Linked DNA regions of Mus musculus. The protein of the gene in region 1 purifies or fractionates together with the protein of each later gene. This does not show direct contact. Links are inferred from orthologs where the notes say so. Each region holds a gene or a part of one and is shown on either strand. Other genes may lie near its edges. The genes, in order: Pop7 and Rpp40.

Region 1 (3,301 bases):
TCGAGCCAGGGTTTCTTGCTGCTGATGTTTATGCCGGAGCAGCTAGCCCACAAGCTAGCGAGGATTCGCCCATCTCTGATACCTATCTCACTGTAGAAGCATGGGAATTGGATTCAAGAGCTGCAATGCTCCGCAGAAAAATGAGTTCTGCTGATTCAAATATTCATGATTATTTGACAAGTGCCTTGCCTATTGAGCCATCTCCCCATCCCTCCCCCGTCATAATTCTTGTGGTTACTAGGAATTGAACCTCTGGCCTAATCCTATGCTAGGCAACTAGGTAACACTCACTAGTCACGATTCCTTTGCTGAGTTATATCCACAAAGAACTTCCCTCACCTTTAAACCTTCTCTTTTCCCAAGCCTGGGAACCATGAGAGCCGGATACATCCCAGCTGTAGCTAGCTCAGTCGATGAGTCTACTCTCTCATCTTCCTGAGAGCACACTGTAACAATTAAGCTTCCGTGTTACACTCAACAAATTTGATTCCCGTCATACTGTGGTTCAATGTGAGATGCCTTACTGTGGCCTATATACTTGCTCTTTCCTACCATTTTCCTATTCAAGTACACACAGAATTACACTAGGAAAAAGAGGCCATTCGAAGCCCGGCACCAACACAACTTAATAATTTATTATACAGGACAAGGAAGATTCACTTCTCGGGCTCTCCATTCTCAGTCCTCTAGGCTGAAGTAACAAGGTAACAAGAGGCTCAGGACAGAACTCAGAACAAGAGCCACTATGAAGCACTAGAAACCTCGGCCACATGGATGTGTGTGCTCAGAAGCCTTGGTGGGTCCAAGTCAGCCTCCCTTCAGTTACTTGGGCGTGACCCTGAAGACTCGGATGTGGATGGCTGAGTTGTTCCTGACCCTCGTCAGGGGCTCCCGAGAGTCAGTCTCTGGCTCCAACTCGTCCACCAGCTCCACGGTGGAGGTATTGGCGGCCACCTGTAGGGACCCAAAGCTGCCCGCCTGCAGCTGCAGGGCGATGTTGATGGCCCGGTTGATGGCCAGGCCCAAGCCATGAATGTAGATTTCAGTGCATGCGTTCTGCCCCCTAGTGCCTCCGTCCAGGAGCTTTTGGCAGCGAGCTAGCTGGGCCTTAAAGTCAGTCTTCATGTTGACATAAATGTCGTTGGGCCTCCGGGGCAAGCGGTGGGGAAGTCGCTTCCGAAGGGTGTACTCCACAGGGTCCAGCTCAGCCTCGATGGCACAGCGGGGTTCTCTGTTTTCTGCCATGCTCTGAGTCCTGGCATGGAGAAGGAACAAGATTCAGGGAGGTCAGGAGAATCCTTTCTTGCCCGGCTTTCTAAGGGTGCAACCAGAAGGGGGCGCCCTCAACACCCTCTTCCTTCCCAGTGTCTCAAGCCCTTCCACTTCCGCTTTCTCCACTCCCAGTTTTAATTCATTCATCACGTGGTTCCCATTCCCGGCGTGTCCACGCCTACCTTCTTCCTTCCTCAGTGCCCTTCACTCGCGTGAGCCTCGCCGACCGATCCAAGTGGACGTCGCTGGCCTCGATATGCAGAAGAAGAACGGAGAAGGGATCGGAAGAGGAACGCCGGGCAGGCTCGCCAGCAAGGGCTACGCACTGCGCACGCGCGTCCCCGCTCCAAGCCGGAACCGATAAGCTTATGGCCTTCTAGGCTTCCGTACTCTCCGCCTCCTTTCCTCGTGCGCGTGCGCAAGGCGATTTAAGGCTCGCGAGACTTGAGGGTTCGCAGGGTTCTAGTGAGCGCTTCGAAGGGCGGGACTAGCTAGCAGAGGCGGGGCTAATTGACAGAGGCGGGCCCAAGAGGGGCGTGGCGTGGATCGCCCAGTTCTCCCCTCCCCGGGCAGGGCGGGACTCGAGGATCGAGGCGGGAAGCAGGGCTGGAAAAGGGGGTTCGGGCAGCGACCCCGGGTCAGCATTGGAGCTGGGATCGCAGGGGCCGGAAGCCTGTAGTCCACGTCCATCCCACTTCTGAGCAGTGGAGTTGACAGCTGACCTCCCGCCCGACGTCCTGACAGCCCCGGAAGCCGAGAAATCGAAGGGATCGTGTCCACCATGATGGACTCCTCCCTCTGCGAGGGACCCACATGAGGTGCCAAGTGTTGGCAGCTTCCCGCCACACCTCTTAACTGTCCCGCCGCACTCGAGCTGCTTCCCGCGACCGGCAAGCCATGACCGGCCGCTCCCTGGCGGAAGGGACAGGAACTGCAGTGCTTGGGTTCCTAGCCCCTGAAAGTTAGTGGGAATCTGGATCTCTGCCCGCAATGGTAAAGCATTTGGACCGTTCCCTGCAGAAAGGCGTGAAGCCTGCTTTGGGGCTTCGTCCTAGATACATCTCCAGGCCACTTACCTAGGCTGAATCTGACTGAAGGCTGGAAAGGGAAGTGTGCACTCTGCTATATAGCCAACCTTGAACTTCTGATCCCCCTGCCTCCACCTTGTGAGTGCCAGGGTTATAACCGCAGGGACTCACTCAACTGAGATACATCCCTAACTTCTAGGATTTAGGTTAAAATGGAAGGTTTGACATGCTAGACCTCAGTTTACTCCGAGCTGATCTATATATTTAATGAACATTTAGAGGAGTCTCAGGAAGAGTTGCACATATAAACCAAAAAATCTTTTTTTGGGGGGTGGGGGTGGGGATAGGGTTTAACGATGTAGCTCAGGCTAGCCTAGAACTCATGCTCCTGCCTTGGCCTCCCCAGCGCTAATGTTTTAGGTGTGCACGACTGCACCATTTTAATAAACTTATCCTAAAACTTATGGCAAATAAATAGACTGAATAAAATGATTTTGTAACGTTGTTGGACTCAACTGTCTTAGCAATTACGAGCACTTTCTGCTCTTCAAGATGACTCTCTTGAAGAGGACTCGAGTTTGTTCCCGGTACCCATGTTGAATGTTAAGTCCAGCTTCAGGAGACCTGACACCCTCCTCTGGCCTGTGTGTGTGCCCAGACACACACAGGCACATATATAAAAATTTAAAAATATATATTTACTTTTAAAGCTATGGCTATTGTGTGTATGCAGTGCAGGGACCATACACGTTGTGAAGTCGATTCCTCAACCTTTATATTGGTTCTGAGGAGCAAAGGCTCACACAGCAAGGACTTCACAGCTCACACACTGATCCATCTTGCCAGCCCCTTAAGACTTACCATGCAAATACGGTCATTAAGAAAAGTGTGCTGTTGGCAGGTGTATATATACAAAAATCAATAAAATAGAGAACTCAGAAACACTCAAGTACACCAAGCCATTGGAGAAAGGGCCTCACAGCCAGGCTGGCATCAAACTC
Region 2 (4,611 bases), on another chromosome or scaffold:
ATACAGAGAAACCCTGTCACGAAAAAAAACAAAAACAAAAAAATTATTATTTTATTATTTTTATGTATATGGGTGTTTTATCCTCATGTTATGTCTGTGCACATGGATGTGTCTGGTGCCTATGGAGGTCAGAACAGGGCACTGGACTCACTCAAACTGGAGTTACAGATAGCTGTAAGCTACCAAGTGGGACTGAACTTTGGTCTTCTGGAAGAGCAGTCAGTGCTCTTAACTGCTGAGCCATTTCTCTAGCCTACTTTTTTTTTTTTAAGCAGTGCTATTTCTTTTCTAATAAAGAAAGGAAGAAAAAAAAATGAATGCTGTCACCATTTGGTAGGAGAGCAACAGTATTATCCTCATCAATACTTGTATTGTATGTTAATGCAGAGAATGAACCTGTAAGAAAAATCAAGAAAAGTAATTAAGTAACTAAAGTAGCACAACATTTGTTTATGAATGGTTTTCACGTGACAACGAATCTTCCAGGTAGGTAACAGGCAGCATCTACTACAGCTCTAACTCATTCAATAAACCCACTACACCCCAGAGATACACTGGAACATATACATGCAAGGCTCCAGCTAGACCACCCCAGGACTCAGGCCACATTCAGGGGCTTTTTGTGCAAGTTTCCTATCAACAGGTTGAGAATGGGCTCAGAACAGAACCTGTAATCTTGGGGATCCTAGCAGAAAGGTGCACATTAAAGAGGCAAGAGGACAAAACACTGATGCAAGGATCAAAGTTAATATTCAGAAACTATTTGAGAAAGTTAATATTCAAAAGCTACTTAACCTTCATCTAAAGGGATTCCACCTACTTCCCTGAGTTATTGCAAGGGCTAATTAAATTTGGTAAGATATTTAGCTGCCACCTAAAGAGGACACAGGAAAGAAAACGACAATATGGCCGGGTGGAGAAGTGATACACGCAGCTGATCACATGATCTAACTTCCATGGGCCCTTTTAAAGACAAGGGAAGGACCCCAATATTTTGCTGCGATCTTCCGATAGCTCTTCATCTTGTCTTGTTCATATGAGACAGTGTTTCTTCTTACCTTTCTTTACAAAGGTGTTGATGAACTCGTGTGTAATTAATTCATGAAGAGGTAAGTTCTTCACAGAGTAATAGGGTCCAATGTCCATGACCAGGCTTTTTAGCTCTTTTGATAGAAGCCCACATTCAGGAATAAGAAATGAAACCTATTAGAATGTAGAAGAACAAACGAAGTTATATTTTATGAAGATTAACACCATGCTTTTGGAAATGGAATGTCAAAGGTGCTAGTTACTCCTTCACAGGTTTTACTGGGACATAGAAGGGACACGCAAACATGGGCAATGTGATGGTTTGAAGATGCTTGGTCCAGGGAGTGCTATTAGGAGGGATGGCCTTGGTGGAGTAGGTGTGACTTTGTTGGAGGAAGTATGTCACTGTGGGCGTGGGCTTTGAGACCTCATCTAGCTCCCTGGAAGCCAGTCTTCTTCTAGTGTCCTTCAGATGAAGATGTAGAACTCTCAGCTCCCCCTACACCATGCCTGCCTGGACGCTGCCATGCTCCCACCTTGTTGTCCTTATAAGAGTTGCCCTGGTCACTGTTGGAGTGTCTGTTCACAGCAGTAAAACCCTTAGTAAAACACACACACACACACACACACACACACACATACACACACACACACAGCCACCACCACCTACCCCTGAGACAGGGTTTCTCCATGTAGCCCTGGCTGTCCTGGAACTTGCTCTGTTTATCAGGTTAGCCTTGCACTCAGAGATTTACCCACCTCTGCCTGGGTTTAAAGGTGTGCATCACCATCAACCTACTAGGCAACAATTCTATTAATTTCAAGTAAACAGATATCTGACTACTCAAGTTTTTCCTTTCTGCATTTCAATGTGAGGCATGACATTGCAATGGAAGTCTTACTTGAATCTTATTTTTGCATACAAGCAATATATGTTATGTCTTTCACACTTTATAGTCAAGGAAATAGAGTATATATAATTCAACATGCCTTGATTTGCTTATTCTGGAGTCATGAAATCAAAGGAACTCCTCCTGGGATTTAGGGACATTTAATTAGTAAGAAGCTACATAGAAGCAAAAGTGCTCCTGGAAGCTTCCATTTCCTAGACAAACCTAGGTGAGACCAGTTGAGATAAGCGATACATCCCTGACCGCAGGGATGGCCTTTCAACCGAAGAGATGCAAAATCCGCGCGGATTTCAAATGATCCCCAAGTGAACATCTAAAGTCCGTTTCGCAAAGCCCCAACAACCAGCCTTGAGGGACAAGGACGCCAGCTAATCTATCTGAGAAATCCATCAGGCCAATATTTAAGATGTAAAATGCTTAAACCCTTATCATCGTAAGGTAAGTTTATTTGGAGTTCCTCGTTTGTCAAACCGCGTGATGCTTTGGAAAGAGTCACAAGCTGATCCACAGAGATCTGCCCAAACTTAGGGTGTAATTCGGCTACATGTTGTACAGGTCACACTCCGACCGTGCAGGTTACATTCCTAACTCCTCCACTGCCTGCTCGACCCAACACCGAGAGGATTTAATCCTGAACACCGCAGTAACCACGCCAAACTCACAAAAACTCTGCTGTTCCTCATAGGACCGAGCACCGCCCTGTGTTTGGCGCATGCTGGGAATTGTAGTCCTACACAGCGCCAAGAAAAGCAGTTAAGAAACTTGAAGAGACTATAGTTCCCAGCATGCCCGAGGACGATCTCCGCCCACCCTCGCAAGCCGAGGAGGTCTGGCCGGGTGAAACCCGGCGTGGTTCTACCTTAAAGCTCTCCAGCCTAAGAGGGCCGGGTGGACCTGACTCACCCTGTAATTATGATAGTGCGTCTCCACGAGATGCTTATGGCGAGACTTATCGTGGCCGAAGTTGGATTTCTCACAGACCAGTAAGTGCCGAGGCGCCTCTTGCAGCCTGCGCAGCGTGGCCATGTTAAGCAGGAGTCCAGGCGAGCACCGCCTCTTGGCCCGCCTCCCGGCCCGCCCCTCGGCCCGCCCCTCACCCCACCATTCGCCCCTTTCTGACTACACCCCTCCCTCCACCACGCCCTAACCCTTCTTTCTTTCCCTGTCTGTCAGTTCCTGCAGGCACTGGGTCTGAAGGTTCTCAAGAACCTGGCATGGGGCTGGTGAGATGGCTCAGCGGGTAAGAGCATTGACTGCTCTTCCAAAAGTCCTGAGTTCAAATCCCAGCAACCACATGTTGGCTCACAACCATCCGCATCTTAAAAAAGAAAGAAAGAAAGAAAGAAAAAACCTGGCACATCCATTCTATCCCACAGTTTCTCCGTGGAGGAACAGTGCATATACCTGGACAGGACTCAGAGAAGGACTGGACCCTGACACCTTATAAAAAGGAGGAAGATAGGACAGAGGAAAAGCCTAGTATAGTCAGGAAATACATCTGCTTTGCAGCACTGTTTTCCTGACTCCTCATATGGTCTCGTTCCTAATGCTCACCCACCCGCAGGCCCCTAAGTTCCCACTGATCCTTCCCAAAAAGTATAGGAAATTACAGAGGAATATAATATGACATTTCTGCATTTTTACTTCCAACAGAACTTCTTTGCTTTGTTTTTAATTATTTAATTTATTTTTTTCATTTCCAACATTACTATTTTGTGATTTTACTCCAAATCTCAGTTTCTTTGCTGAATTGTACTTCCATGTACACTGTTGCTATCTTCAGACACACCAGAAGAGGGCATTGGATTCTATTATGGATGGTTGTGAGCCACCATGTGGTTGCTAGGAATTGAACTCAGGACCTCTGGAAGAGCAGTCAGTGCTCTTAACCAATGATCCATTTCTCCAGCCCCCATAGCTAATTCTTAAAAGCCATATTGTTGATTTTTCTCATCTATTTTACTCTCTGTGTGTGCACACACATGCGTGCGCACGTGCACGTGTGTGCACAGCAGACTTTCCAGGTCCTTCCTTAGGGAAGATTGAATTAATCTTTTTGCTTCAATCTTTTTTGAGGTCTTAAAGTATTTTTACTAGGAAACTTCTGAAATCACCCAGAATTTTACCTATTTCAGTATCATTGAATCCAGGTGTTAAGTTATTTTGTCTTGAGACAGGGTCTCATTATATATCCTGGCTGGCCTCAGACTCAATATATAGACCAGGCTGGTCTCAAACTCAAAGAGATCTACCTGCCTCTGCCTCCTGAGTGCTGGGATTTAAGATGTGAACCACCACTCTGGGATAATTGATTTTGTTTTTGGAGGACTCCTGTTGCTGTGTTTTTCATTCATGCTTTTGTTTCTGTGTGTGGTGTTGACCTGTGTTGATTTGGAGATGTTTTTCGCTGTTGTTCTTACTGAGCACCCTACTCTCCGAGACTCATTCCCCGGTGTTACTCATAAAGGAGACAACACATTGCTGAGACAGTAACAAAATGGAAGATATAGAAATACACCCAAAGTTACTGAGGTTCAGCAATATATTACTAATAACCATGAAACAGAAATTTACAATACTAATGTAGAATATGCTAGGAATGTAATGATTATGTAGGGTAAATGGGAAAATAGCAAGAAAACGAAAGCAAGCCTAAATGAAAGAAAGAAGC

Evidence for each region.
Region 2: the proteins of Pop7 (region 1) and Rpp40 purify together in Homo sapiens (co-immunoprecipitation; 4 studies listed by BioGRID and IntAct, with this or other methods). This does not show direct contact. The link is inferred for Mus musculus from reciprocal best matches to the Homo sapiens genes POP7 and RPP40.

The regions. Positions count from the first base shown.
Region 1 is NC_000071.6:137,500,825-137,504,125, forward strand, and holds Pop7 (ribonuclease P protein subunit p20), read right to left. Parts: upstream 1,606-3,301; 5' UTR 1,455-1,605; intron 1,256-1,454; 5' UTR 1,246-1,255; coding exon 823-1,245; 3' UTR 615-822; downstream 1-614. UniProt on the Homo sapiens protein: Component of ribonuclease P, a ribonucleoprotein complex that generates mature tRNA molecules by cleaving their 5'-ends. Also a component of the MRP ribonuclease complex, which cleaves pre-rRNA sequences.
Region 2 is NC_000079.6:35,903,361-35,907,971, forward strand, and holds the start of Rpp40 (ribonuclease P protein subunit p40), read right to left. Parts: upstream 2,988-4,611; 5' UTR 2,967-2,987; coding exon 2,844-2,966; intron 2,668-2,843; exon of another isoform or gene 2,624-2,667; coding exon of another isoform or gene 2,603-2,623; intron 1,204-2,602; coding exon 1,059-1,203; intron 397-1,058; coding exon 328-396; intron 1-327. UniProt on the Homo sapiens protein: Component of ribonuclease P, a ribonucleoprotein complex that generates mature tRNA molecules by cleaving their 5'-ends. Also a component of the MRP ribonuclease complex, which cleaves pre-rRNA sequences.